3 linked regions of the Caenorhabditis elegans genome follow. The protein of the gene in region 1 purifies or fractionates together with the protein of each later gene. This does not show direct contact. Each region holds a gene or a part of one and is shown in the gene's direction. Other genes may lie near its edges. The genes, in order: aldo-2, gst-7 and Y22D7AL.10.

Evidence for each region.
Region 2: the proteins of aldo-2 (region 1) and gst-7 fractionate together in Caenorhabditis elegans (co-fractionation; one large-scale study listed by BioGRID). This does not show direct contact.
Region 3: the proteins of aldo-2 (region 1) and Y22D7AL.10 fractionate together in Caenorhabditis elegans (co-fractionation; one large-scale study listed by BioGRID). This does not show direct contact.

What each region holds. Positions count from the first base shown.
Region 1 is NC_003281.10:5,870,933-5,881,267, reverse strand, and holds aldo-2 (Fructose-bisphosphate aldolase 2), read left to right. Parts: upstream 1-4,797; 5' UTR 4,798-4,946; coding exon 4,947-4,988; intron 4,989-5,047; coding exon 5,048-5,129; intron 5,130-5,466; coding exon 5,467-6,218; intron 6,219-6,269; coding exon 6,270-6,494; 3' UTR 6,495-6,590; downstream 6,591-10,335. Other genes in the region: hpo-10 (SAC3/GANP/THP3 conserved domain-containing protein), read right to left, coding at 1-37, 84-215, 339-720, 790-1,289, 1,339-1,423, 1,653-1,657; F01F1.2 (COX assembly mitochondrial protein), read right to left, coding at 2,052-2,193, 2,239-2,332, 2,404-2,508, 2,565-2,709; mig-21 (Abnormal cell migration protein 21), read left to right, coding at 3,016-3,180, 3,230-3,474, 3,519-3,637, 3,694-3,792, 3,935-4,248; F01F1.3 (MIF4G domain-containing protein), read right to left, coding at 6,666-6,824, 6,868-7,014, 7,064-7,178, 7,699-7,826, 7,875-8,002, 8,144-8,213; F01F1.11 (PAP-associated domain-containing protein), read left to right, coding at 9,424-9,442, 9,495-9,677, 9,725-9,960, 10,012-10,176, 10,225-10,335.
Region 2 is NC_003280.10:4,876,592-4,886,608, forward strand, and holds gst-7 (putative glutathione S-transferase 7), read left to right. Parts: upstream 1-5,500; 5' UTR 5,501-5,527; coding exon 5,528-5,660; intron 5,661-6,212; coding exon 6,213-6,700; 3' UTR 6,701-6,767; downstream 6,768-10,017. Other genes in the region: gst-6 (putative glutathione S-transferase 6), read left to right, coding at 3,325-3,457, 3,907-4,394; gst-8 (putative glutathione S-transferase 8), read left to right, coding at 7,163-7,295, 7,472-7,959; R05F9.7 (Serpentine Receptor, class E (Epsilon)), read left to right, coding at 9,685-10,017.
Region 3 is NC_003281.10:1,610,241-1,620,575, reverse strand, and holds Y22D7AL.10 (10 kDa heat shock protein, mitochondrial), read left to right. Parts: upstream 1-1,646; 5' UTR 1,647-1,653; coding exon 1,654-1,680; intron 1,681-1,732; coding exon 1,733-1,846; intron 1,847-2,185; coding exon 2,186-2,305; intron 2,306-3,135; coding exon 3,136-3,201; 3' UTR 3,202-3,425; downstream 3,426-10,335. Other genes in the region: hsp-60 (Chaperonin homolog Hsp-60, mitochondrial), read right to left, coding at 213-521, 671-817; Y22D7AL.9 (Tetratricopeptide repeat protein 7B), read left to right, coding at 6,550-7,045, 7,534-7,695, 8,301-8,407, 9,028-9,354, 9,759-10,123.

The sequences.
Region 1 (10,335 bases):
TGTACAAAGTTTCGGCAAAACGACGAGCACGATCTTCCTGTAAATACTTCGAGAAAATGAAAAATTCAGTTAATCCAACTTACCCTCCGAGCCTCAGTATCCCCTCCAGCTACCTTCCAAGCATTCTTGACTTTTTGCGGAGTTTGTTGTTTCTGCAGTTTCTTAGCCGCCTTTCTCGCTGCCTTTTCAGCCTTTTTCTGAGCCTTTGTCTTTTTCTGAATGGAATTAGTCACATTTAGTAATTTTAAAGATCTATTATAAGTATGAATTTCAGCAGAACTACTCAAGTTTCCGTGCCCAAATACACCACCCAGTTCCCTATCTAATTTTATCGAAACCTGATTCATAGAAGAAAAGTGCATTTTCTCAAGGGGATCGCTATTGTCAGAATCAGAAGATGCCCCATCACTATCCCGACGAGCCCGTTTCATTTGTCCTCCACCACCAGCGGCACCGCTGTTAGACATTTCATCACTACGCCGTCGCGATGGCGACTTTTTTCTATTAAATCCATTAGCCTGATGTGGAAGCTTATTAGCTGGCGTCCACGCTGGAGCTAGCTCATAATTTTTCTCGTGGGGCAACGGTTCATTGTCCCAGTTGACCATGTGAGCATTGCCTGCGTTCAACATAGGGAAAAGTCTCTTCTGAAGGTATTCTTGAGTTTTTTGACGATCTTCGACAGTGTTCGCCGCCTCGAAAGCACGTTCCATGTACCGTCTGAAAAAATAGAATGTTGAATAATTTTGCAACAATAAAAACAAAGATGATAATTAATTGAAAACTTACTGGGCTGATGGAGGTGGTGGCTTGGCTGGTCCTGGAGCTGGAACACCGCGTCCTCTACCAACTCCCATCAATGGCTGTGGACCTCCGCCCTGCGGTACGAACGTGCTAGTTAGATGCGGAAATGCGGACGAATTATTCTTTCTGTTCAAGGCAAATGGCTGAAACTGCTGAGGTCTCTGTTGCTGATTCCAGTTGTTGGCTCCTCCGCCACGCCCTCTTCCGTACCCGTTATTCCAATTCTGTGGTGGTGGTGGTGGTGCATAATTAAAAGATGCTTGGTTATAAGCTGCTTGAGCAGTTGCATTCACCGCCGACTGTTGTGGTGGTGGTGGTGGGACAATCGGTCCGCTGCCCCACGTGGATGGATGAAAACCACCACCGAATTGACCGTAAGCGGATGGGGGATTTGGGAACGAAAACGAGTTGTTCATCCAAGAGTTCTGACCTGTATTGTTGTTACCATTCGATGCATTCAGTCCTTTCGACATTCCACCTTGAATCTGAAATATTACAAATTGAAACAACTGTTCATATGAAATATTTACAAACCTTCATTAATGCTTCATTCGCTTTTTTCCAAGCTTCGGAATTTGCTCCTGTCTCCATTGGCACTGGAATTGACATAACTTCTTCTCTGTAAAGAAAAAGAAGAACTGAAGGAGATTAGGAAAAATCAATAATATTCGACAAAAAAAGTTCACGTCGAAAAGTTAATTCCAAATTAGCATTTATTTAGTACTTTAGTTTGAAAAAATGGTGCTGCCTACTTTTTTAAATAGCAACTATTTAATTTTTAGTTATTTTTGTGCGAAACATATCGACTTCGAACATCACATTCAGAATTAAAAAAGAAAATAACGAACCCCATATCTGAAATAGAACAGACAGAAATAACTATTTAGCAGAAAATTTTCAATTTTGCGTACAACGTTAAAAGAGTAAAATCAATAAAGTTTAACGGACCAGCGTTTTCGTAGTTTACTGGCAACTAAACAGAGCGCGTATCGATTTTCAACGGAGCGTCGTTGCACTATTATATTCTCTGGCAAAAATAAAATGTAAAGTGAAAGAATAATTCATGAATTAACGAGTTTTTGGAAATAATATTTTTAGAATGAAGAAATGGTAAGAATATGAGATAATATATAGTGACTCGAACACTTGACAATAATAACTATAAAAAGTATAAAAACCAGAAGAAATGGATTGTATTTGATTCTACAAACAAGGAAACAATTAACTATGAAAAACAAGAAAGAATTCTACTTTTGCTCATTTGTCTTCTTCCAATCCCGAAACTCTTCAATTTTCCGTTGCTGCGATGTCATTCCAGTAGCTCGAGCTGCCGATCGTTCCGCAATGTACTCGTCAGTCATTTTTGCTCGGAAGGCTGGATCGTGGAATCTTAATATGTTCTTGTTATTTTGAGATACATTAAAATAACCAGACTTTTCATATTTGCATCGATTAAAGAGTTCTAGAGCTGGTTTACACGTGTTCAAGCCAGAAACAGCACCGTCGGTTCGAAAGCAAGTGATGAGTCCTGAAATTGTTGTAGAAATAGAACTCTATATAATCGTGCTTTTATTTTTATGATTTCAATAATTCACAAACCTAAATAAGATTCGTTGCAATCCACTCTTTCGATTTGGGTATTCATTCTATTCGGAATAATCACATCTGCCTCGATTTTCCTCAAAGTCCGATCTTCTGGATCACCTGAAAACAAATATTGTATTTAAATGGTAAAAACCGCAAGCTGATTTAAAAATTACCTAATCCATGTGGTCCTCCAGCTGAATAATGTGGCATAATATTTTTCTTGACACGATATTTCTTCCCGGTCTTCTCGTCTGTCACAATTTCGCCTTCCTTTAAGGTTTCCAGGTTATCAGTGATATTCACTTTATTTTCCGTCATTCTAGCTGTAAATTTGAAAATTTATAAATGGAAATTTCAAGAGAAATCATGAGATTTACTAGTTTTAAAAGTTAAAATGATAGCGCCCGAGAAACAAAAAAAAAAGATCTTTGCCGTCTCTTATCTCTCACGCGTAGCAATGGAGCGCGACTCTAACACTGCAAAAAGTGAAATTTTCTACAGTAACCCTGCCATCTGGCGACATCTGAAAGATGGAAAAGGAGAAGGAATGTCGAAATCTGAAAAGAGAAACAAACATGGGTGTAGAAATTTCACTTATTCAGTAAGAACTGAGTTTCATAGAAAATGATTGTCATGGTTTTGTTTAATATCTTCGTTTTCGTCAATTTCTCATATTCGTTGGCTAATTTAAATGATTCTAGCATTTTATATTCTCAAGTTGTCTCTAATAAGTGTGCATCTAATAATGGTATATTCTGTGAATGTTCGAAACAAGGCGGAGAAATTAAGGTTCTACATTCAAAAAGATAAAAACCAATTCAATAAAATTTTGATGCAGATTTGGAATTGCATCCGTCCAGGAGGTTGGTCAACGTGGTCAAAATGGTCGAAATGTAGAGAAGGTATCCGAAAAAGAAGACGAACGTGTAATAATCCTTTACCAATTGGTACCACTTGTTCTGGCCAGAAAGTTGAGAAGCAATCTTGTGCAATTTCTTCAAATGTACCGGAGTATCTTTTTGGATCCTGGACATCCTGGAATCCATGGTCTCGATGCGATTGTGATCGTAGCCTGAGGATACGGTAGGTTCAAACAATTGGGAAATGTACAGTAACCCAAGTTTCAGAACTCGGCACTGCAAAGGTAATTCCTGCGAGGGATGTGACAAGGATTACGAAGATTGCCGCCCAGATGAGTGTCCAATTAGTAAAAAATGGTCCGAATGGACAGATTGGGTGAATTATGGTATGGGTCTCATTACGCTGAAATATATCAACAAATTTGTAATGATTTAATTTCAGGAATTGAGCAAGTACGGTTTTCAGCCTGGTGTTCGTCATCAAACGTGGCGAATACTGAAGTGGGAATACGGAAGGAGACTCAAGACTCAATGAAGCATGGTATTAATTTTAGTTAAAAAATTTCGAAGAACCATAACTTGAAGACTAAATTTGAAAGTTTCAAAGTACAATGTCCACTTTACTGTCTAAATTTTTGTGTTAGTTAACAACATGATAAAAAATTAATGAGAATAATTTCCAGCCAACTGGTCTGAATGGCATATGCATCCAGGAGTTGCATACCGTTATCGTCTTCTTCACAACTCTTCTATTTCCATCGAACACCATCTCTTATCAAGATTCACGTCATCATGTCTTCCCTTGCATTTTGCAATTCCAATATTTTGTTTTTGTATTCTCACGGGTTTCCTTCTTCAAAATATTATTTATTGTGTTGTGAATCGTTTTAAAAGGAGATTCATAAGATTGAATTATTCGTATGATTCAAATCCACGTGACTATCCTTCTCATTTGATTCGTTCTCCGGGTTCCCCGAAAGATGAAAGTTTTTGGTGAATTTCGGATGCTTTCGAGAACAGTCTCTGTCTGCCCATTTCTCACGCCACGATAATAAAAGTTATCATTGATCTGTACAACGAATACTCTGAGTGAGGTGTTTTTAATTCTTATCACTTCAACTCTTCAGTTTTAAGACTGAAATTCTAAAGAAAAAACATCAGAATTAATTATACTTTTAAAGAGAGGCGTACTTTCGCAAATGGGTCTCGCAGCGCAAGCCAACGACTAACAACGACAATACCGCACATTTAAATTCAATTTTAGGATTCATTTTTTCATTTCCAAATTTTTCGGTTTTTTCTATAAGAAAACAGCCGAAAACTTAAGAAAATAATTCCTGCACAATTGTGAAAAATTGTTTTTAAAAAATTGTGCACAATTTTATTAATTAAAAAAAAATTTTTGTGTAGTTTTTTTAAGGGATTTATCTACTTTATCTATAGATTAATTTGCCGAATTGACATACTCTTTAAAAATAGGCCTCAAAACTTTCTATCTCGGAATTTTTCGATCATCCTAAAGTAGTACAAGAATATCACGTTTCAGTTCTCTGCGCGCCAACAATATTTGGCGCCGCCCGTTCGCCGTCTCCCGTTTTTGCGCACACTCTCGGCGACTGTACTGATTCTCTACACTCTCCGCCTCCCCATTTTCTCGACCGTCCATTTCATTTCGCATCACTTCTATTTTTCACGATGGCAACTGTCGGAGGCGCTTTCAAGGACTCTCTTACCCAGGTTTGTTGATCATTCATCATTTTGTAATGCCCTTCTTAGTTTAATTGTTGTATTTCTAGGCTCAAAAAGACGAGCTTCACCAAATCGCTCTCAAAATTGTTCAAGATGGAAAGGGAATCCTCGCCGCCGATGAATCCACTGGTGAGCTATTGGAAAAATTCTTCTAGAACTAGAAAATCGAGATTCTTATCTTCTCACAATCATCTTTTGACAATTTTTCTATTCAATAAGAATTAGCGACTTATGTTCAGAAGTTCAAAAAATAAATTTTCACGGTCTAGCGATCATATTCTGTGCCCTCTATCGCCTCCAATTTTCGATGTTTATGTTGTTGAAATTGGAGATGTTGATGCATTGATAGTGCGAGTGATAGATAAAATTGTAGATAGAAAGAAAGATAACATGTAGAAATGATATTGGGGAAGACCGATTTCTTCTTTTTTATAATGCAGCACATCGTGACCCGATCAATTTGCAGGCACAATCGGAAAGCGTCTTGATGCCATCAACCTCGAAAACAACGAGACAAATCGTCAGAAGTATCGTCAACTCCTGTTCACTACTCCAAATCTCAACCAGCACATCTCCGGAGTGATTCTCTACGAGGAGACATTCCATCAAAGCACCGATAAGGGAGAGAAGTTCACCGATCTTCTCATCAAGCAAGGAATCGTCCCAGGAATCAAGCTCGATCTCGGAGTTGTCCCATTGGCTGGAACCATTGGAGAGGGAACCACCCAGGGGCTCGACAAGCTTGCCGAACGTGCCGCTGCTTTCAAGAAGGGAGGATGTGGATTCGCCAAATGGCGTTGTGTTCTCAACATCGGAACTCACACCCCATCTCACCTCGGAATGCTCGAGAACGCCAATGTGCTAGCCAGATACGCTTCTATCTGCCAGGCCAACGGACTTGTTCCAATTGTCGAGCCAGAGGTTCTCTGCGACGGAGAACATGATTTGGCTCGTGCCCAGAAGGTTACTGAGCAAGTTCTTGCCTTTGTGTACAAGGCTCTTGCTGATCATCACGTGTATCTCGAAGGAACTCTTCTCAAGCCAAACATGGTTACTCCAGGACAATCGAGCGCGTCGAAAGCTTCACACGAGGCAATTGGATTGGCTACCGTAACCGCCTTGAGACGCGGAGTTCCAGCTGCAGTTCCAGGAATCACTTTCCTGTCTGGAGGGCAATCCGAACTTGATGCCACTGCTAACCTCAATGCTATTAACTCGGTAAATTTAAACGAAATGGAATAACCTTATATCACTCATTTCTATTTACAGGTTCAACTCGGAAAGCCATGGAAGCTCACCTTCTCTTATGGACGTGCTCTTCAAGCTTCTGTGCTCAAGGCATGGGGCGGAAAAGACGAGAACATCGCTGCCGCTCAGAAGACACTCCTTCACCGTTCCAAGGCCAATGGAGATGCATCTCTCGGAAAGTACGCCGGAGAAGACGCAGCTGGAGCCGCCGCCGAGTCTCTCTTCGTTGCCAAGCATTCCTATTAAGCGATGACGCATAACTTCCTGTGAATAGATTTTTCGCAACCTCGTCCCCAAGATTGTATAATTTCACTGACCCCGAAATGAAGTTTTATTTCACCGAAATTTTATATTTTATGAAACCCGAAAACTAAAAATCACCAAAAGTGGGAATATTAAGGATCTACTTCAATATATTCAAACAATGCTCTCTTTGCTTCCGAACTCTTGCTTGCTGATATCATTCTTCCGAAGTGGTGTCTGATCAACAATCGATAGCTTCCCTTCTGCACTCAAAGTGAGAAGACATTCAGGAATATTCAGCTCACTCCATCCAAATGCCCAAAGATCATACACCTAAAATCAAATAATCAATTGATCATTCTCTGATCTTCCTCACATGAATGAATATTTGACGGACATGTTTAGTGACAATTGGATCTTCACTGATAAGTTTATGACGCAATTTTACAATGATTCGTTCGACGAGATATGAATTCAAATCGTGAAGAACGCGACCATTCTCGCTGAGAAGTATCCCGGCTGTCTGAAATTAAAAAATTCTAGATTTTTCAGAAAAATGTTTCTGTGGAAACCTCTAGATCTTCGGTATCTGGAGCATCATCAATAAGTGCATCCAAAGATGAGAACATTGGTTTTATGAAGCATTTTGACACACATTCGTCCATTTTCACATATACTGGATACATTCTGAACGGATATTTCAATATGAATTCATCGAATTTCAACTACTAATTTTACTGTTGGAAAATTCCAGTTCTCGCGTTTTTTTTCTATATTCTTTGCAAGCAAATACTTACGATTCATGTGAGAAAAATAAGGTCCCTGGTTTCGCCACGACAAGCTTATGTTAACTAAAAAGAGGTGTGCGCCTTTAAAGAGTACTGTAGTTTCAAAATCTTAAATAGTTTTCCTCACGATTTGTTAAAATGTATTTATGTATTTCTATTTTTTTTATTTTGAGTTTTTAATAAATACACATATTTTTTTCGGGAAACTATGAAAAATCAATAAAAATTCATCAGAGCTCTGCAGTGTTGAGTTTTTGAAACTAAAGTACTCTTTAAAGGCACACACCCTTTCTCATTCAACAATACCTCAACATGATATATCATATGATATCAAAATTGCGTGTCTGACTACAAGAAACATTCGAAAATTGGAATAAAACGATAGTTTCTTTCGAAAAAAAAAATTGGAAATTGCTTACGAAAAAAGTGTCTTCACACAATTCCTGAACATAAGTCGAGAATCGTTTCGAACTGAAAGCCGGTTACGGTAGTCGTTGAGTAGTAGAGCCAACACATTTGAGGATAATGAAATGTCTTTTGGATCGGACTGGAATTTTAATTTGTGGTTTTTGAGGTTACCGTAGTACAGAACTACCTTATGGATGTGCATTAGTATATTTGCAGCAACTGGTCCAAAGCGTCCATCCGAAAGCCATCGGAGCCTCATGTGTTCGGCGAGAACTTCTGTAGAATGTTGACCAGCAAGCATACTGTAGGCTTGCACTGAAACTCGAATTTTTAAAATTGTGGGTCCCGCGACGATCCACATCACTTTTCACTAAATAACGGGATCAAGGCGTGAGCAGGCACATTTGCCTGATTCTACATACAAAGAACGATTTCGAATTTTCTTAAATAGCTCACCTGGAATTGGTCCTTGTTGTGTGAGAGTTGCAAGAGATGCAAATAGGCTCCGTAGTTTATCATCGTTCATTTCGTGATTATTGATTTAAAAAAAATGTCTGAAAATTTTCAATTTCTGAAATTTCCGATTAACTTAATAATTCTCAAATATTGCCGAGTTAGCCAATTTTTTTTAATTGACGATCAGGGTTCTAGAGCAAGCGAAATATTTCAGCTACAGTACCCGCGAGTACTGTAGAATTTCATTCTTCTTACAGAAAGTTGTTTCCTATTTGACAGTTTTCATATTTCCTGATATATAATAAGACTTCTCAGTAATTTAAGTTTTTCTAACAAGTTTTCAAAAAATTGTGGGAACTGGTTGAATACTTACAGATACTGTATACTAAAATTTTTAGCTCGTGTCAGGACCCAAAAAACTAATTTTTTCTACTAAAAATTGTACAAAATAACCGGGTCAAATCGAAAGACGAATGGCTCGAGCTGAATGACGCAAGAGATTTGAAAATGAGGTGAAAAGTGTCACCAGAGACAATTGGGTGCTTCATGCTCAACTTTCAAGATTTTTTATCTCTTTCGAAAATGCATGATGGCAAAGTTCAGAAGGCAGAGCAAGCAGCATCACACACTCAAAAAATGAAAAACAGAGGAAAAGTGACGGCTGTTTCGAATTACACAACACATGTGGCGAACAGAGAGCTCTGGAGAGCATAGAAGAGGCTCAAAACACATGAACATAGCAATATAATAGACAATTAAAATATTGGAATTTTCATGAATTATATACATATGTATTTTTCAGATGGGTCTCGGCGCGCAAAAGTTTATGGTAGACTTTTTAGAATTTTCACGTCTGCTTTTTTGTTCATTTGCCTTGCGTTTTTCAATGATATTAATTGTTTTTTAGCGAATCATGTCATATTCTTTTCATTTTTCTATCCTAGAGTTTGTAAATATGTTGTTTTATAAAAACACCAACGCTGTTTTCGGTTCATGCATACTTGCATAGGACAAAAATTGCTTGATTGTTTATAAACATAATTATTTTTATTAGCTTTCTCGTGTGGAAATGTGAAACTTCAAGAAAATTCTATTTTGCGGCTGGAAAGGGAGGAAAATTTTTGTGCGGCAAATTAAATTCAAATTTAGCGCGCAAAAAGGTGTTGGACTTTTCTCGGCCGTGCACTCCTCTCGGACAACGTTTCTCTGGTCTCTCTCGGTTTGTCTCTATTCTCTATTTTCCTTTTATTATTTTTTTTCAAGAAATTTACCACAAAAATATGAATAACTCAAATAGAAGTAAGTTTAAAAATAATAATTTTATTCAAAAATTAAAAAATGTTCTTTATAGTAATTCCGTTTGCTTTCAAAAGCTCTGAACACGGCTCATACGAAGATGAGATGATGGAAATGGAAGACGTAGTCGATGTAGAGGACTATATGGGCGGAGAAAAATATGATTCTTATAATGATGCAAAAGAAGATATTAAAGATTTTAAGACGACTCAAAGAATGAAAAAAATCCATCGAATGGGTAAAAAAATTATCAATAAAATATTAAAAGTTCAATTATTGTTTCAGAAAAAATTGAGCAAAACATTGCCTCAGAGAAAATCGATATAATCGAGCTTGGAACACGTGTGATGGTGTCGACATCGGATAAAACGCTCAATGAAGCTTCATTGGAGAGAACCATCCGTTGCGGAATATCTGAAGCCACATTTCTCGGAGATATTTCTATGGAATCGCTGGTAGAAGGTATGGTGAATCCATCGGCGGCTGATGGAAGGTTTGCAATGCTTGGAACGTCTATTATGGTCAGAATTCTGATAGCCCGGAATTCAAAATTCCATTTTTTGATTTTTCAGCTAAATGCGCTAAAGTCAAACATTAAAGACCTGAGAGGAACAATTGTAGGACAGACGACCAACACAAATTCAGAGTCAAAATTCGATAAAATCGATTTAAGTCTAATGAATCTCTCGCATTGCCAACAAACTTCTTACAATATTCGAGCAACAGGTGTATTCTCTGTGAGTTTTTTTTTGTTTCAGCTTCTATGAAAAAATGCCAAATTTTAGAATGCCGATCTTCAATATGTGTTCAGTTTGCTGACGTTCCGCAGAAACGCAAAACTTCTCAACAAAACCAAGCAGTTTATAAAAGCATATTTTTGTGTTGCGTGCCGTCCG
Region 2 (10,017 bases), on another chromosome or scaffold:
AATCGCGCTCATTGATTTACTGGCCGCTAAGCGAGATGTGACTAGCAACATTTTAAAGAGAGAGAGAGAGAGGGGATTGGATTGATAGAGTTGCTTTCTTAGGTACGTGAGAAATTTTAAGGAACAAGTGCAAGCTTGAGATAAGATTCTAGAGATTCTAAAGATTCTACAGAAGACACAAACGTTTCGAGCTGCCGGAACTAGTTTAATAGGGATTATGTTTAAAACTCAAAAAATACAGAAGAACGAAATGGCATAATAAAATACATACGTTTTAGATTCTTGAAAATTTCCAGTTAAAGTTTTGGAAAGTTTTTAGTCACAGTTTTGGTTAATAAATCAATTAACCAACACTTTGTGCTCACTGAAAAATTTAAAGCAATTTTACATGCTTTAACACCTACAGTTTACTAATCCAAGTAATTCGAAAAAAATTAGAGTATATGTACAACTCGTAGAAAAACTAGTTTTTTTAATAGGCTTCCAAACTTATGAGTGGTGACATTGAGTAATCTAGACTTTATCACTGCAAATAGAAAATTAATTGTTTATTTTAGAACCATTGGAATGATTTTCTACAAGTTCCGGCTCTTCTCCCCTTTGAAACTTTGCGGTTTCGCATAAGGCGGTGCTCGTACGTATTTCGGTCTAGATTGATCTCGCTATAAAATAGTTGACGAACTTTAGATTGAAGTATATTTATTTTTGCATTTTTTATTCAATTGGCATTTTTTCTAAAACATAATTTTTATGACAAGAAAAACTTGGAAATATTCCAGGCAATTCAGACAATAGCTCAATCGGACCCTTTTTTGAAATTTTGTACCTCCATAATAAACTTTAGCGAACAACTGGAGCTTCTAAATTTTCAGATAAAAATTTCCACATTCGCAGAAATCGGGCGTTGAAAAAAGTTACAGATTCCGGAAGATCAAGAAGTCAGTACTAGTTCCTTACTATTTTAAACATTTCTAGTAAATAGTATCTCTATTCCAACTTGCTAGAAACTGAAATCATAATTTTTAACAATCAAAATGTTGTCTTTTGCAGATCCGAATACGTGTAATGTTCAATTACAACATTCGTTAAGTGTCTAGATATTTCAGAAATATCTGTACACAAACCTGAAAGGTTGCCAAAAATTGCCAAAAGTAGTGCCAGCTTGTAATTTTTCGGAGAATTCAAGACAAGCTTAAACTATATATCAAGGCTAACTAACTAACCCAACGAGTAGGTGTTTTGTTTAAAATTTTCAATATGGGTTTTTACAAAAACTAGCCTAAATTCTTTGTCGATATAAAAACAGGATAGATACTAAAAAATATGTTATATTTCAAGTGGGCACAACTGTAAAAATTGACACTAACTTCCCATTAATTATTCAAAAATTCTCCTCATTTTTCATTCTGCCAATGAAAAGCGATATCAATCAAGCCGCAAATAACCGTTTTCTCAAAAAAGAACCATAACCAATGACAGGGCTTTCTTCATCTTCTTCTTTCATCATTCTTCCATTTTCCAACGTTTCCTGAAAACGAGAGACGTGAGAAACTTGCTAATAAACTGCTGCCTGTTGTGGTGTGGTACTTGGTGAGGTCTCTCGTCCGTCCGACGATGAAAAACGAAAAAGTGATGGAAAAAGAGAGAAAAGGATTGAAAATGAAAATGAGTGAGACAGAAATGGAATGAGAATAAAAAGTTAATGATATCTGAAAACAAGGTATAGTCATACCAGCAAGAGTAAATTTCCAAAAAAATAGTTTCACAAAAATGTGAATGTTCACTTTTTTGCTATATTCACGATAATAACAATTAATCAAAAATTCTACTAATATCGCAGATTTGAAAAAATTGAATTGCAAAACGGATAAACTTGCCAGCAAAAGTGGAAGCCTCGGTGGTCAACTTAATTTTCTAAACCCACTAAATTGCGTAACTTCAAGCTGCCGTATCTGGAAAAATACAAGTCTTGAGCAAAAATTGCTAACTAACAAAATGATTCAAAATATTTTTACTTTTATTTGCATTACTTTTCACTGCAAAAAACTAATTATTTGCAGAGTTGCACAGAGAATTTTTAGGTCGTTTCAGAGAAGAAATCACTTAAAATGAACATGAAATTCGTAAATAGCGTGTTCTCAGCTTTCTAAAAATATTTTTTTCGACCCAAAAATCGCAATTTCATTTTTCCGCTCATTTTTCGAAAAGCAAAAGTCCCATTTCTTATTTTGGAGCGGAGGACGATTTTGGAGATGAGCCCACATTTTTGAAAGATTTTCTAGGACATTGTAGAAACCTCAAAAAAATGATCATTTTTCAAAATTTCAAGTCGATACGTTGGATATGAAGATTTTTATGACGGAGATTGGATTTTTTCAGAAAACGGTCTATAACTTGGCGGAACATGAAAATATCGAAAAACTTAAAACGGATAAAATGTGGAGAAATATTTTTCACTTACTACTTAACAAAATTTATCTTTTGAAATTCAATGAATATTGAGTTATAAAGGGTACAACAAAAGAGTTCTCAAATTTTTCTTTGAATTTTGGAAAAATGGCTTTGACTCTGTGTAACTCTACAAAAAGTTGTTGATATACAAATTAATGTAATAGAAAGAACAAATGTTTCTGATCATTTTGTTAGTTAAAAATTGTTTTTCAGACTTGTATTTTTCGAGATACGCCAGTTTGAAGATGCTCAGTTTAGCGATTTTAGGAAGTTATTTGGTCCGTTGAGTGTGATGTATACCAAGATTGGAACTTTGAAAATATGAAAGTATAGGAAAAGAAATGCAACTCTAAGGCACTTCAGGTGTGAGCGGCAAATGTTTTTTTACGGCAAAAAAACGGGAAACCGGCAATAACGGTAAACCGGCATTTTGCCGGAAATCAGAAATTACCAAAATTTCAGAATTTCAATTTTAATCGGCGAAATTGTACGCATCCTATAAATGTTCCTAAATCTATTTTAATAAGTAAGCAATTATGTGTTTTTTTCTTAATTTCAGGTCTTTCCAAAAAAGAAATTATCAAGAATTGACATGATATCAAGAAGTAACAGACTGTATATTCCCCATAAAGCTTTAAAATTAATTATCCTCTCAAAGCCTTTTTGATTTCTGAAATCACGGTTGATCATACTATAGTCAATCTTGAAAGTGATCCGAAAAACGCTGTGCTCTCAAGTTTTGGTTTTGTCATCAAATATCTTCAGTCATATATTGAAAAGTAAATAATGATAGTAGAGCACACAAAAAATGATAAGAATAACCCAGTATTTGATGATAATTCACATTCATTTTGTAGGAAAAAATTTCACGAAATGGTTCACTACAAGCTCGTCTACTTCCCATTAAGAGCCCGTGCTGAAATTGCTCGACAAATCTTTGCCTATGCAGGACAGGATTATTCCGAGGAGAATCTGAGCTTTGAACAATGGCCAGCACGCAAAAATAGTGAGTTTATACACTTTTGGCAAAGATAAATGGTTTCAAAACTTGAAAACTACGTTTCATACATTTCGGTATTTGTTTATTTTTTAAATTGTAGATAATTGCAAACAAAAGTTCTCTAACTTTTCACATCCGAACTAGAACAGTATTCCATGATTCAATACTTTAAAAAAATCACTTTGCAAATTGGGATTATGCTTCTGATTGTTTTTTTTATTTCCTGATTTAGGGTGATCAGTCAGAAGTTCAGAAAAAAGGTTGTAGGTACGAGGAAAACTTGATGCTTGAAACTTTTTATGGAATTGTGCTTTCTGACAACATCTTGGACACTGTGGAAAAGTCGCTCCTGGAGATCGAACTAATCCGAAAAATTTTCTAAGACCTTCATACTTTTTTAAAATTAAGATTAGATTTTATTTTAAAACACTTCTCCTCAAATTTCAAATTTCTAGACACTCCATTCGGTCAATTGCCAATTTTGGAAGTCGATGGAAAACCATTGGGACAGTCATATGCAATTGCTCGGTACTTGGCCAGAGAGTTCGGAATTGCTGGACAAAATGACACCGAGGCGGCAGAAGTGGATGCAATTGCTGATCAATTCAAGGATTATCTCAACGATGTCTCCCCATATTTAACAGTTCTTGCTGGATTCAAACCTGGAGACAAGGATCAACTGAGAACTGATGTTTTTGTTCCAGCTTTCAAAAAGAATTTCGAGTTTTTCGAGAACATTCTGGCATCTAATCACAGTGGTTTCTTTGTTGGAAACTCTTTGACATGGGTGGATCTTTTGATTTCGCAGCACGTTCAAGATATTTTGGATAAAGATTTGGCAGTTGTTGAGGAGTTCAAGAAGGTTTTGGCACATCGTAAGAAGGTTCAGAGCATCGACAGAATTCAGAAGTATATTGCAAACCGTCCAGATTACCCATTCTAAATTGAAATGAGTTTGCAATTTTGTATTATTTTTTAATTCATATTTCAAGAAGCAATTTTTTGCTAATTTGTTTTAATGGAAATCGATGTTTCTAAAATATCTTGAATGAATTGTTCTTTTAAAAATTTTATGGTAAAGTTTTCAGCAGGATGTTTCTATAGAAGCTTTTTGCATTGCAAGAGTGTTGAAATATACAGGATATTTACAAAAGCCTGGGAAGTAGGCATGCTTTTAGGTACAAATCAGACCTACACCGCCTTCCTTTGTGGTTTACCATCATAGCTAAAACTTTCCGAACATTCCCTGGTGAGACACAATGTTCAAAGCACAAAACCAATCACGTCATAATGTTAATTTGACTTTTATTGTCAAAAATTACAAAAGCGTCGTTTTCTGGAACATGAACATAATAAGAATTTTCAAATTTCGGTGGGCACAATAAATATGTAATCTTTTATTTATTTTTGGAGGATAGTCTTTTCAAAGGCAGGTGTATAACCCTCAAAAGAAAGCACGTTTGTGTTTCAAAGTGAGACTTAAATTATTTCAAAGACAAATTCCATAGGAAATCATTGTTCATCAGGCACCTTCCCAGAAATTAGGCTGTAGGCAGGCACGTAGGCTGCGGTAAATGCCTACGCCTCTTTTGCGCGAGATTATGAAATTGTGTTGTACTGTCGGAAAAATTTCAGAAACAAAAAAAAATATTTTTTGTGACTTTTTGTGTCAGTTATAGTAGTTTCTTATCATGGTATCTTCAATAATAATGGCAAGCGTAACAAGATGATTGATGCCATGGGTTTATATTTGTGAGTAGTCACAAATTGTGACACAACATTCCCTTCGAAAGATCTGGAAAAGTCACAAAACCTTGCATATATTTTTTTCAACCAATATTATTTTGACCTACTCTGTTCATCGTAACATTGCAACAACAAAAAACGATGACTACACTTTATGATTTCTAGTCAACAACGTGCGCGCAATGTGTAGAGCAAATGATGACAAACTACAGAATATGGTGAGTGGAGAGACGACAGACATTTGAGAAATGGGTATAAATAGAGACGGCCGGCATTCAGTGTTCAACCCTTCTCATCGACCACTCGATTTCTTGCTTGGTTATTTCAACAATGGTCCACTACAAGGTATCGTACTTCCCAATTCGTGGAGCTGGAGAGATTGCTCGTCAGATCTTGGCCTACGCTGGACAAGACTTCGAGGACAACAGAATCCCAAAGGAGGAATGGCCAGCTGTCAAGCCAAGTGAGTTTGGGATTGAAAATTATTGTTTGAATAGGTGCATAGATATTGAAATTGTTAGTTGAAATCTTATAAGTAGTTCCAAATTAAAAATTCATTTTAGAAATAGTTGCAGGCTTTTAGTTAAGCTGTCTTTGGTTTTATCAAAAAAATTTTGACTGACAAAATACGTGAAGAATATACTTTTAAATATTGTCAGTTAAACATTTTTTGATAAAAGTTAAGAGAACCGAGATGTAAGCCGTTAAAGTAGCAGGTACGGTATATTCCTTACCTTTCCTGTTCCTATTAACTAGGTCACACAAATTGCCTTTTTGCCTTTAGAGTAGATTGAAGTTGTTATTGAGTTACTTTTTGAAAGTTATTGAAATTTCGGTGTTCGAATGAATAGACCTTGAAAAAGGAAAAAAAAATTCAAGGCTAAACTCTAGGCAGTTTGACACCTAGAGATGTAAACAAAGTGCTTGGTATGACTGAGAGATAGAAGTTTGGAGTCAATGATTGTTTACTCAAAGAAAACTTTGAACTTTAGGTTTTAATTATATTATTTTTCAGGCACTCCATTCGGACAGCTTCCACTCCTTGAAGTTGACGGAAAGGTTCTTGCCCAATCTCATGCTATCGCCCGTTACTTGGCTCGTCAGTTCGGAATCAATGGAAAGTGTGCATGGGAGGAGGCTCAAGTCAACTCGGTTGCTGATCAATTCAAGGATTACCTCAACGAAGTTCGTCCATACTTCATGGTGAAGATGGGATTTGCTGAAGGAGATCTCGATGCTCTTGCCAAGGACGTCTTCCTTCCAGGATTCAAGAAGCACTATGGATTCTTTGCTAACTTCCTCAAGTCGGCTGGATCCGGATACTTGGTTGGAGACTCTTTGACCTTTGTCGACTTGCTCGTCGCTCAGCACACTGCTGATCTTCTGGCTGCCAACGCAGCTCTTCTCGATGAATTCCCACAATTCAAGGCTCATCAGGAAAAGGTTCACTCGAATGCCAACATCAAGAAGTGGTTGGAGACTCGTCCAGTTACTCCATTCTAAATGATTTCCAAATTCACATGGTCTCTTTATGTATTTTTGTATTGATATGGGATAAATGATTGCATTGAAATCTATTTATTCTGAAAAGTTCTCTAAAAAATAAGATAGCAGAAGCAACCGATATATTTGTTCAGACATCCGAATCATCATGAAAAGGCACTTTTTGAACTGAGTTGTCAGTAACATCTGCGCAGTGGGAAGAGTAAATGATGACAAACTTTAAAGTTTCCAATATACTCTTTATTTTAATGTACATTTATCTAATTCAACCAGTTCATTGAAACAGACATAACGCCAAACTATATTTGTGGTTTGTTGTCAGCAGAGTGCGATCAAAGCAGTGATGACTTAACAGTACACACACACTTAGAGAATATGAGTATAAATAGAAACTTCTTGGTTTTTATTTCAAACTGTATCACAGACTTGTACTCCCCAATTACTTGAAAAGTGGTAGTAATAATGGTCCACTACAAGCTATCATATTTCCCCATCCGTGGAGCTGGAGAGGTTATTCGACAGATATTTGTATATGCTGGACAAAGCTTTGAGGATCATAGAATTTCAATAGAGGAATGGGCAGCTGTCAAACCAAGTGAGTTTAAGCTATTTAACAATAAGTTCAATTCAATTGATCAGATGTTTTTTTAGTTGTCATTGGCTTCATCAAAAAAACATATAAAAGAGACGAGAAACATAGTTTTTCCTCAAACATTCTATTTGTAATTTTTGAAGTTTCTGAAGTTCAAGCAGCTTAACAATGACTTTCAGCCACCCCATTCGGGCAACTTCCACTTCTAGAGGTCGATGGAAAGGTTCTTCCACAATCTCATTCTATCGCTCGCTTTTTGGCTCGTCAATTCGGAATCAATGGAAAGTGTGCATGGGAGGAGGCTCAAGTCAACTCGATCGCTGATCAGTTCAAAGATTATCGCAACGAAGTTCGTCCATATGTGATGGTGAAGATGGGATTTGCTGAAGGAGATCTTGATGCTCTTTCCAAGGATGTCTTTCTTCCAGGATTCAAGAAGCACTACGGATTCATTTATAATTTCCTTAAAACTGCAGGATCCGGTTACTTGGTTGGAGACTCGCTGACGTTTGTGGATTTGCTCATTGCTCAGCACACTGCGGATATATTGAGTACTGATCCAGCTCTTCTCGAAGAATTCCCACAATTTAAGGCGCATCAGGAGAAGGTTCATTCAAATGCCAATATCAAGAAGTGGTTGGAAACTCGTCCAGAGACTCAATTCTAAATAATCGTTCAATTCTAGTTTTGAAATTGAATAAACTACAATGAAAATATAATTCATAGACAAAAATTGATTGAATTTTAGTTGAGTAATCATTTGGTTTTTTGGAAAACTGAGTAATGTAAAATTGCGGCAGAAGGGAGAATTAAATTTAGATATGACAAGACTCAAGCGTGGGAAATGATTATTAACTTTCGATCAAACCTTTTTGTAGTTATGTCAATGATCGTTCAGAATTGTTTTTGAACTGTTTACCTTATCTCTGTCGATTTATTCTGAAAAGGGATCAATTCTGTTTTGCACACTAAAGTGAAAAAGTTTTTCGTTGTCAATTAGTACGTTCCTGAAAGGCTTTCAAAAATGAAAAGCTAGCAAATTTCTAATTTTTGCACAAGTTGAACAAAATGTGTTCTGTTCAATAGTCGGTACACATTCCTCGAAAATTATTCTAGGAAAAAATACCAATTTTGCAGCTGCTTTATATAATCAATTAAATTAATATCACATTTTTTGAAACATATTCCGACACATCGAGCCCAAGTTTCACTTGCAAATCAAAATTTGTTCGTTGAGCTGTGAAAGGACATACTCCATGGCAGGGACAATTGATTGAATTAACCGAACAAAAAATAAGTAACATGACAAATTGTGGGGTTAGCCTAGTACGTGTATTTCTCGCGACTCTGAAATAATTGCCGATTTGCTTTTGAGATCACAAAGTTTTACGTTTTTCTTTCTAGTGTAGTTGTTCATTTTCACCTGTTTTGAGTGGGAATGATAAATAAATGACAGACCTGGTTTTAGAGAATCACGTTTTAAAACTGTCCCTTTAAAATTATTAAAGTTGTTACCACTTTCATTTGAAATCTTTGAGTCACTTTCGTTTGGTGGCACAATTTACAGTGTTAACGGATTTTTTTCCGTTTACCTATTTTTGGTAAGTTTCAGCATTTGAGCTATGTTTCGCATTGCGTTCAGTGGTATTTTATATAAGTTAAACTAACAGTACACTTGGTGACTCTAATTATGAAAGTCGTGATCGTTGGAGATTCTTCTCCATCGTATTCGCGACAAGCTACATTTTTAAGAAATTTCCCTCATTGATGATACTCCTTCTGTAATGCAATGAATAAACCCGTATCAAAATGTAATGAATATTTTATGTCTGTTTTTTAAGGTTTTAAACAAAATGGTATTCCTTCAAAATTTTCAACGTACACTGTTTGAATATAACTATATAGAGAAAACCTATTAGCCTAGAGCTGTCTTTTCCGTTTCTTTTGGTAACCCCATTTTTCTGAAGTTAACTATTCAAATATTTAAAAGTATCTGTGCAACACTTAGTAAAAAAATACTAGGGCATCTTGAATTTTAACGAATAAAAAAGGTTTTCAAAGTTAAAAAATTACTGATATTCTAATGAATACATTTTGATTTTATATGTTCTATTTGTATTGACCAACACTGCAACTAATGTGCTAACACTTCCTGTTCTCTGAGTTTTTTTTTCATAACTCACGCCTCCATGTCACCGCTGTTTTGGCGAACATTCTTTAAAATTCGATTACAAGTGATCATTCGTTTCTATAGATATTCACATCAAACTTTATAATCTAAAAGCGTTTTCTGAACCCGATCAATTACTCCACCTGCATATATAATTTCATGCTTACTCTTACTACTCCTTATTTTTAGAAAACATTTTCCTTATTTTGAGTTAAAGATAAAATGCACATTATCCAGGAATTTCTTGCCAAAATTCTCTCACTACTTGCTGAGCCAATTCCATTGGTGGAGGGCCAATGGCTCAATATCACATTTGATGTGCCAATTTTAGTGGATATAAATGCTCCATTGACGCCAACACTACAGTTTATTTATGCATCTGAAAGTATTTTGATTTGTGTTGGAATGTTTCTAATGGTTTATTTCAATTATTTTGTGAAAAGTTTCCAAATTGTACATTTGAATTTACAATATCTATTTTTGCTCTTCACGACTTTATATATTTTTGGAAGTCTGGCCAGATTCTACATGATTTTGGTTCAATTAAAGTTTGTC
Region 3 (10,335 bases), 4.3 Mb from region 1:
GAATTGGGAAAAAATGACGGTTTTTTGAAGATTTTGAATTCCTGGCAACTGATTTTAGCCACAAATTCGCGATTTTCAAGCAGATTTGAGCGAAATTCTAGTTTTTCCTCTAACATCAAATGAAAATCGCTTCAAAATTGGGTCAAAAATCCCAATTTTTCCAAAAATCACTGTGGCTTTTGAATTTAAATCCACAATTTCCCGGTATTAACCTTCTTGGAGATCTTCTTGAGCTCTGCAACGACGACTTCGACGGCGTTCATGACTCCACGACGGATCTCGACAGCGTTTCCGCCTTGACGAATGCTCTCGAATCCCTCTTTGGCGATGGCTCTGGCGAGAACTGTGGCGCAGGTGGTTCCGTCTCCAGCCTCCTCATTAGCCTTGTTGGCGACATCTTGAATGAGCTTGGCTCCCAGGTTCTGGTATTTGTCCTTGAGGTCGATGGATTTCGCGACGGTGACTCCGTCCTTTGTGATCTTTGGGCTTCCCCACGACTGCTCGATGATCACGTTTCTTCCCTGAAAGAGTTTGGAGTTTTAGAGGCTGTATTTATGAAGAAAAAAAAATTAAATTTTGCATTAAACCGGAAGTTTTGTGTATAAAAATACGTTAAAATAGATTTTTTTACAGCATTTTTTCCTCAATTTTCACATCAAAATCCCCGTACTTTTGGGCCCATAGTGACAGAGACGGCGTCGGCGAGCAGGTTGACTCCGACGAGCATGGCCTGTCGTCCTTCGGCTCCGAACTTGACGTCCTTGGCGTAAGATCTGACGACGGCGGTCTGAAGTCCCTTTCTGGCGAGGCGAAGCATCTTTTGTGTCTGAAAAACTACGAAAATTGTGTGAAAATCTGCAGCGGAAAGGCGAAAATGCGAGCAAAATCAGAGTTTCTCATCGAAAATGAAGCGAGAAGCCTTGCATTATCGTCTGAGAAGCAGAAAAGGAGTGAAAAATAACGAGAATGGATGAGAAATCGGCTGGGAAAACGGTAAAACAGATATTTCCCCTAATTTAGACGATAAATGGCCTATAAATAAGCATTTTTCAATCGTTTTTTATGAAAATGAAGCGAGAAGCCTTGCATTATCGTCTGGGAAGCAGGTAATGACTGAAAAATACAGGAATAAATGAGAAAATAGCTGGGAAAACTGTAGAATAGTTTTTTCCCCTAATTTCGACGAAAAATGGCCCAAAAATAAGCATTTTTCAATGGTTTCTGATGAAAATAGAAGCAAAAAACCTCAATTTTTCGTTCAAAATATGAAAAATGAGAGAAAAATAACGAAAATGACGCAAATTTTGATGTAAAATGGCTAATTTACATCAGAATAGACTTTTGCATCATTTCACTCGCTCCGCCCAGTTTTGCAAGGTGCGCACACTTTTCTAGGTGGAGCTGAGCGCGCTGATTGGCTGAATTTGCGGCGCGGTGTCTGCCATTGGCCCGACACGCCTAGATTTGCAAGTTTGCCGCACGAGATTTTTCGCGCCGCACATTTATTTTCTGCTTTTTTTCTCGAAGCTTCTTTTGGTTTTTTGATCATTTTCTGAATTTTCGCGGGTTTCTTCGGGTTTTTTCGTTGTTTTCATGTAATTTCCCGCTAAAAATAAATTTTAAAACTCAAAAAACCAATTTTTCAGCCGAAAAATGTTCCTCACCGCTGTCCGCCGATCGGTAAGCTATTTTCCCGGTGTTTTCTCCGAATTAAACGCGTATTTTTTTGCAGAGCAATGTCCTCAAGACCTTCAAGCCACTCTATGATCGTGTGCTCGTCGAGAGAGTCGCCGCCGAGACCAAGACAAAGGGAGGAATCATGCTCCCGGAGAAGTCACAGGGAAAAGTGAGCAATTTTTGGCCTAAAAATTGATTTTTCAGGTGAAAACTGATAAATTTCAACGTCTTGGAGCAGATTTCTAGCACAAAAATGCCAATTTCACCGTCAAAATGGTGCAACTTGGCGTCTAAAACACAGTTTCTAGCTAAAAACCTTCAATTTTATACGAAAAATGTTAATTTTCACCGAAAATTCCGTAAAGTCTGGTGTAATGATGCAATTATCGATTTTCCCTGCCAACACGCTCTCCGACTGCTCGCGGAGGTTTTTGTCCAATTTTTATCCGAAATTACCGAATTTTCACTCAAATTAAAGCAATTTCCACCTAATTTTCGAATATTTCAGGTCCTTGAAGCCACCGTCGTCTCTGCCGGAGCCGGACTTCGCAACGAGAAGGGAGAGCTCGTCGCATTGACTGTGAAGCCAGGAGATCGTGTCCTTCTCCCAGAATACGGAGGCACCAAGGTACAAAATGCGACGAATTTCGAGCGAAAATATGGATTAATTGGCGAATTTTTAATGTGAAAATCTGAATTTCCGTTGAAATTTCACACAATTTGGACGAAAATCGGGATTTTTTTTAACATTTCAGTGTAAAAGTAGCGTTATATTACTGAAAAGTCATTGAAATCAACGAAAATTGCACAAAAATTGTGTTTTTTCAGCCGAAATCCAAGATTTTTTCAGAAAAATCAGGAAAAATTGTATTAAAATACGATTTTTCCCCCAAAAACTGAATATCACGCGCTTTTCGCTCTAAATTATTGGGGAAATACCTTTAATATAGTACATTTACGCTAAAACCCAACGAAAATTGCACAAAATTTGCCGATTTTCACCGGAAATCTAGCATTTTCTCTGTAAAAATTCATTTTTATGAACGAATTTCGAGAAAAACTGAATTAAAGTACGATTTTTACGCCAAAAAACTGAATTTCATGGGTTTTTCGCTCTAAATTATTAGGAAAAAACCTGAAAATCAGTTTATTTTCGCTGAAAATCCACAAAAAGTGCCGATTTTCACCGGAAATCTAGCATTTTCTTTGAAAAAATCCCAAATTTCCTTCGTTTTTTAAGGAAAAACTAGGTTAAAATATGATTTTTACGCCAAAAAAACTGAATTTCAGGCGGTAAAATGTCAGTTTTTTCCAGTGAAATATAGTTTTAGGCCAAAATTTTGACAAAATACCTGAAAATTAATTAATTTTTTGCTTACAGACCGCGAAAATTGCGCAAAAACATATTTTTTCGACCGATTTTCGCAGGAAATCCCAACAATTTTTCCCCAATTTCAGGTCGTCGTCGAGGACAAGGAATACTCAATCTTCCGCGAGTCTGATCTTCTCGGAGTCTTCCATTAAATTATCTTCCATATGGCTTTCGGTCTCACAAATCTTCATTCAATTATTCCCCTCTCTCTCTCTCTCTGTTTATTTAATTTTTTAATTTCAATTTTTTGAGTTTAGATTTTAGGAAATTCCTCTTTTTTGTTGAAAAAATCGATTGTTATAGTTCCTTTTTTCCTTGATTTTTCGCCGGTATTGTTTTTCTTTTTTTTCGATTTTAAATAATGATTTTTCAGATTTTTCTTGTTCTCTGGCCACAGACAATGTTTTCGATGTGACAGGGCGAACCGAGAAAAGCTCAATGTGGCTTGGAGAACCGGAAAAAACAAACGGCGTACTTAAAAGACACGGCAGTGGTCGAACCTTTTCAAGCTCTGAGCTATTTTTTAACCGTTTTTAAATATTTTTAGCGCTTTTCTGCAATTTTTTGAAAAATTTTGAATTGCCGCCAATTTAATTTGTTCGATGGAGCGCGCTTGCATTATTTTACTGATTTTTTTTCGGTTTTTTGGAAATTGAATTTCCCGTCAAAAAGATCCAAAAATAAACTAAAATGATGCAAGCGCGCTCCATCGAACATCTTGAACTCTTGGCGGTAATTCGAATTGGAACGCAAACTGAGGATTTTCCTTCCAATTTTCAACAAAAAAAAACATTTTTTTTGGGGTACGGTAGCTTCAAAAGAACGCAAACACCGCAGTGCTTACGACAAAATGCAGAATTTCTCAATTTTTTGTAAAAATCACATGCCTATGGGTAAAATGAGGTGCTGAATCTGAATTTGTTAGTTAAAATTCATAAAACTAAAGTTGAAATGTCAAAAAATGAGTTTTTATGACTTTATCGTCAGGAAAATTGTATTAAAATTCATTTTTGCAGATTTTCATGTAAAAATTTGAAATCTTCGTGACATTTCACCCTAGAAAAACCTTTTTGTGAGTTTGCAGTGCAAATATTGAACATTTTGGGGTACGGTAGCTTCAAAAGTACGCAAACACCGCAGTTTTTACGACAAAATGCAGAATTTCTCACTTTTTTGTAAAAACCATGTGCCTAGGGGTAAAATGGGGTGCTGAATCTGAATTTGTTAGTTAAAAGTCTTGAAACTGAAGTTGAAAAGTCAAAAAATGAGTTTTTATGCTTTATCCTCAGGAAAACTGAATTAAAATTCATTTTTGCTGATTTTTATGTCAAAGTTCGAAATCCTCGTTAAATTTCACCCATAAAACCTTTTTTGTGAGTTCTCAGCGCAAGAATTAATGTTGCTGATTTTCATGTAGAAATTCAAATTTATCGATAAATTTCACCTTGGTAACCATTATTTTGAGTTTGCAGTAAAAAATGCGGGAGTTGAGACGCAGATTCACATTTTTCTGGGCGAAAAATTCCCGCATTTTTTGTAGATCAAACCGTAATGGGACAGCTTGGCGCCAACATTCCTAGTTCCAAGGTGGCCAATTATTGGAAATTTTCAGCTATCCCACTGCCATCGGCTTGATTTCTTCTGGAAAGCTTGACCTCTCTGGACTATATCCAAAGCCTATTACAAGCTCAAATTGCCGATTTGCCGGAAATTTTCAATTCCGGCAAATCGCCGGTTTGCCGATTTTAGAGGAAAATTTCAATTCCGGCAATTTGCCCATTTGCATATTTGCCAGAATTTTTCAATTCCGCCAGTTTGCCGATTTTCCGGAAATTTTCAATTCCGGCAAATTGTCGATTTGCCGGAAATTTTCAATTCCGGCAAATCGCCGGTTTGCCGATTTTAGAGGAAATTTTCAATTCCGGCAATTTGCCGATTTGCATATTTGCCAGAATTTTTCAATTCCGCCAGTTTGCCGATTTGCCGGAAATTTTCAATTCCGGCAAATCGCCGGTTTGCCGATTTTAGAGGAAATTTTCAATTCCGGCAATTTGCCGATTTGCATATTTGCCAGAATTTTTCAATTCCGCCAGTTTGCCGATTTTCCGGAAATTTTCAATTCCGGCAAATCGCCGGTTTGCCGATTTTAGAGGAAATTTTCAATTCCGGCAATTTGCCCATTTGCATATTTGCCAGAATTTTTCAATTCCGCCAGTTTGCCGATTTTCCGGAAATTTTCAATTCCGGCAAATCGCCGGTTTGCCGATTTTAGAGGAAATTTTCAATTCCGGCAATTTGCCGATTTGCCGGAAATTTTCAATTCCGGCAATTTGCTGATTTGCCGGAAATTTTCAATTCCGGCAAATTGTCGATTTGCCGGAAATTTTCAAAAATTTTGAAAAATAAGTTTTTTGGAAAAAAATTATTTGAAAAAAATTTTTTTTGAAATTTTTTTTTTCAAAATTTCAAAAAATTTCAAAAAATTTTCAAAACCCCTCATTTTCTTTTTCAAGAATTTTTCAAGGAAAAGGTTGTCTGGAGCAAATAAAATCAAATTATATTTTTAAAAAAAATATTAAAAATCTGAAAGTTAATTTTTTTATTTTTTTTTATTACTGAGAAATTCGATTTCTAATAAAAAAACATCGATTATTTATTGATTTCTGCAAAGATTGAAGTTTATTTCTGAAAAAAATCAATATCAGTTATTATGAATTTGCGAAAACAAATCGATTATTTATTTTTTGAAAAAAATTTTTTTTTAAATATTTTTTTTTATCCTTACTGAAAACTCTGATAATTAGTGATAATGCGTAATACTTTGTAACACATAAAAGCTGTTAATTCTCCCAGACTGCCGTAAACCCCCATAAATCCCGCAAGACCCCCCAAGGTCGCATCAACTTTCGCTCACCGATTTCGGGAATGAAGGCGCTGATGTCAATTCTCTTTTATATAATTGCTTCATTTTCCTATTTCGAATGTTGTGTTCGTCTTTAGTTTTCTCATCAGTTTTGTATCGATTTTTCGTTTTTCTAATAGAATTTTTTAAGGGGATTTTTTTTTTGCAGTCTGGCCTAAAAAATTAAACGTTAAACATTTTAAATTAAACATTTTTTGAATTTACTTCCTCATCAGCTTCAATTTGACACCTATATTGGCTATTTTTGAAATTTTCCGAAAAATAAAAAAAAAAAAATTTTTCAAAGTTTTTTTTTCATACTTTTAAATATTGTCGAGTGGGCGGAGAGCTTGGCGATAAATGTTTTAAACTAAAATTTTTAATTTTTCCACTTCATAAGCTTCAATTTGACACCCATATTGGCTATTTTTCAGCAAATTTGAAAATTTTTGGTCTCGCCACGAAAATGTCGGTTTTTATTTAGGCTTCGGGTTAGGCTTAGGCCCAGGCTTAGGCTTATGCTAACTCTTATGAATTTCTGAAAAAACCGGTTTTTTCAAACAAAAATTTTCAAAATTCCCATTTTTTCAGCGCTTTTATGAACGAAAACTTGGAGAAAGTGGTTCACGAGGCGGGCTCCGCCTACTCAGACGGGCGGTACCAAGAAGCACGAGAACTCTACGAAAAAGCGTTGCGAGACCACCCGAAAAACGGAATCCTACACGCAAATCTGTCGGCGATTCTTCTCAAAATTCAACTGCCCCCGGAAGCTCTGAAACATGCTGAAATTTCAGTGAAATTGTGTCCACAATGGGCAAAAGCCTATTACCGGCAGGGAGAGGCTCAGCGGGCTCTCGGATTTTTGAAAAAATCAATATATTCGTATTGTAACGGAATTCGGCTGGATCCTGCCGGGTTTCAGTTGCTGAAAAGTTTGAAATTATCGATTTTCGATCACTTTCCGATGTTTCCGTGGGAAAATCTGAAGGTTTTGGAACTGGATGAACATGTGCCAACGATTTTGTCTACGCTGGGACAAACTATGCTCTTAGAGATGGAGAAGCAAAAAATCAATAATTCGGTAGAAGTTGAAGGTGATTTTATTGATTTTTAGAGAAAGTTGGAGCAAGCTTATGCGCCGGCGGCGGCGTACACTGAATCGCGCCGCCTGCCTGCGCTAGCCAATTTTACCGCCGTCGGCGATAACCATTTTGGCCACCGCCGGCGATAATCATTTTGGCCGCCCGCTGCGGGCGCGAACTATTTTTACCGCCGGCGGAGCGTACTATTTTGGTCGCCGCCGGCGCTAACCATTTTTGCGACCGTCGGCACTAACCATTTTTCCCGCCGCCGGCCGCGGTCGGCAGGTTTGCAACACATTCGATGATTATCGATTTTTCAATGGAAAAGTGTTTTCGCCTGCAAAATTTAAAGAAAATCGATATTTTTCTCCGAAAATCAATAAATCGATAACTAATGTTATCGCCCCTATAGGGAAATTATCTTTCATTAACAAAATTTTAAAAAAATCAATTTTTAACGTTTTCCGCAAAAATCGATGACTTATCGATTTTATTTTCAGAAGCAATTCAAGTCTTAAAATGGTCGTTGGACCTGAATCTGGAATCAGTGAAGCTCCAGGAATCAGCATTTGGAGCACTTGCATCCGCCTATTGCTCCATTCAAAAATACGAGGACGCGCTGTTTTTCACCCAAAAACAACTGGAAATTGCGATGAAAATGGGTGATTTTGAAATTTTTTCAATTTTTCAATAAGAAATTCGGATTCTACGTCTTTTTTACACCTAGATAATTTTTTCCCGGGTTTCTAGCTCAATTTTGAACATTTATGGGGTACTGTAGCTCCGAAAGTACGCAAACACCGAACATTTTACGACAAAATGCAGAATTTCTCAAATTTTTGCAAAAACCATATGCCTAGGGGTAAAATGGGGTGCTGAATCCGAATTCATTAGTGACAATTCTTAAAACTGAAGTTGAAAGTTCAAAAAATGAGATTTTGGGACTTTATTACAGGAAAATTATGCTAAAACTCTTTTTTTCCGATTTTAGTGTAGAAATTTGTATTTTTCTCAGTTTTTACACCTGGATAAATTTTTTCCGGGTTTCTAGAACAGTTTTGAAAATTTCTGGGATACTGTAGCTCCGAAAGTACGCAAACACCGAACACCTTACGACAAAATGCAGAATTTCTCAAAATTTTGCGGAAAAAGCGATTTAGGGGTAAATTAACGATTCTGAAGCCGAATTTTTAACTGAAATTTAATAAAAATTGACTTTTACACCATTTTTCTGCAATTTTCAAACTGAAAAATGTTAAACTTTCAGACACCCCATCAATTTCAATAATTCGAGAGAACCTGGCAACTATTGCGGAGCTCTGTGAGAATTTTCAAGTGGCAATTGAACAGAGAAGGATTTTATCGAGAAATGGGGTGAGTTTTACTATAATATTCAGAAAAATCATGAAAATTAAAATTTTTGTGGGAAAAGTTCAATTTTCGAGAATTTTTATTACGAAATTCGTATTCAGGCGGTCATTTTACCCCTGTCTAGCTTTTTTTCGGGAAAATTTTGAAAAATTCTGCATTTTGTCGTAAACACTGCGGTGTTTGCGCACTTTCGAAGGTACAGTACCCCGAAATGTTAAATATTTGCACTGAAAAGTCACAAAAAAAGCTGCCGGGGCAAAATTTAACGAGGAATTCAAATTTCTACATGAAAATCCGAAAAACTAAATTTTAAGACAATTTTCCTGACAATAAATTCATAAAAACTCACTTTTTGACTTTTCAACTTCAGTTTTATAAATTTTAACCAACAAATTCGGATTCAGCACCTTATTTTACCCCTAGGCACATGGTTTTTGCAAAAATTTGAGAAATTCTGCATTTTGTCGTCAGCTATTTGGTGTTTGCGTACTTTCGAAAGTACAGTACCCCGAAATTTTCAAAATTGGAGTGAGAAGCTCAAAAAAAAACTTTCCCGGTGTAAAAAATGACGGAGAACTCGAATTTGATAACGAACTTTCACGAAAATCAATATTTTTTTTCAGAATATGCCGGAAATCCTGAAACTTTGTGGCCTCTACCTGAAAACCGGCGCCCCGGAGCAGATTTTCACGGTCCTAAACTTCAAAATTCCACCTGAAACCTCAGAATTTCACGTAGAAATCTGTCAGCTCATAGGAAAAGCCCATCATCTCCAAGGAGATCAAAAAATGGCTCTGCGGACGCTAATTCCGCTGTCGAGAAACCCGAAAAATCAAAATTTCGAGTTAATCGATACAATTAACAAGTGTATGCTGGAATTGGAGGATTTGAATTCATCAATTGAATTTTTGAATCAAATCATTCGAGAAAATGTCGAAAGTTTGGATTTGGTGGGTCTTTTTGGCGCGAAAATTGGGAAAATTTGAATTTTATCGATTTTTTGGATTTTTTATTTGGAAATTATTGATTTTTCTAAAAAATCCACTTTAATTTCAAAAAACTATTCAAAATTGGCAAAAATTACTATTTTATCAGTGGAGCGCACTTGCTCCGACAGCTAGAAATCGATTTCCGAGAATTATCGATTTTTCGGTGTTTTTTTCAGAATTTTATAATTTTTGGGACAATTATGAATTATTAACTCTCAATATACGTTAAAAATTTGCAAATTTCAACTGATTATCAATGGAGCGCACATGCCTCTTGCCGCCAAAGACAAAAGCCCGCGAAATTCAAAATTTCCGCCGGGTTTATCGATTTTTCTTAATTTTTCTAGCAAAAATCAATATTTCAGATGCTCCACTGTTACTGTCTGCTGTGCCAAACACAAATAATCGCCGGAAATCTGGAAACTGCGCTGAAAATCGCGAAATTCGTACTGAAAACTGCGAAAAATCAGGAAAATTCTAAAAACTCAGAATTTCCGGCTGAAATTTCTGTGCACAAAGCCAACGCATTCCGGCTTCTTGCCATCATTTATGAGCACCAAAAAGACACAGGCTCCGCCCACGTTTTGTGGAAGAAATACGTGGATTTGGGGGTTTTGACGCCGTTGGAGAAGCTTAATGGGCTTCTGCAAATTGCTCGAATTGCACAGCTGGAAGGAATTATGGATGATGTTGAAGCAGTTTTTGAACGTGCTCAGGGAATATGTGATCGGTGGGGGTCTTTGGGAATTTTCAAAATTTTGAAAAAAAAATTCCAAAAAAAAATTGTTTTTTTTTTAAATTTTTTTTGAAATTTTCTTTTTGAAAATGAGTAAAAGTTAAAAGTTTCATGTTTTTTCGGGGAAAAACACAAATTTCAATCAAAATTCGCGAGAAAATATCGATTTTTCCTCCAGTTTCAATGCAAGCGCGCTCTACCGAACA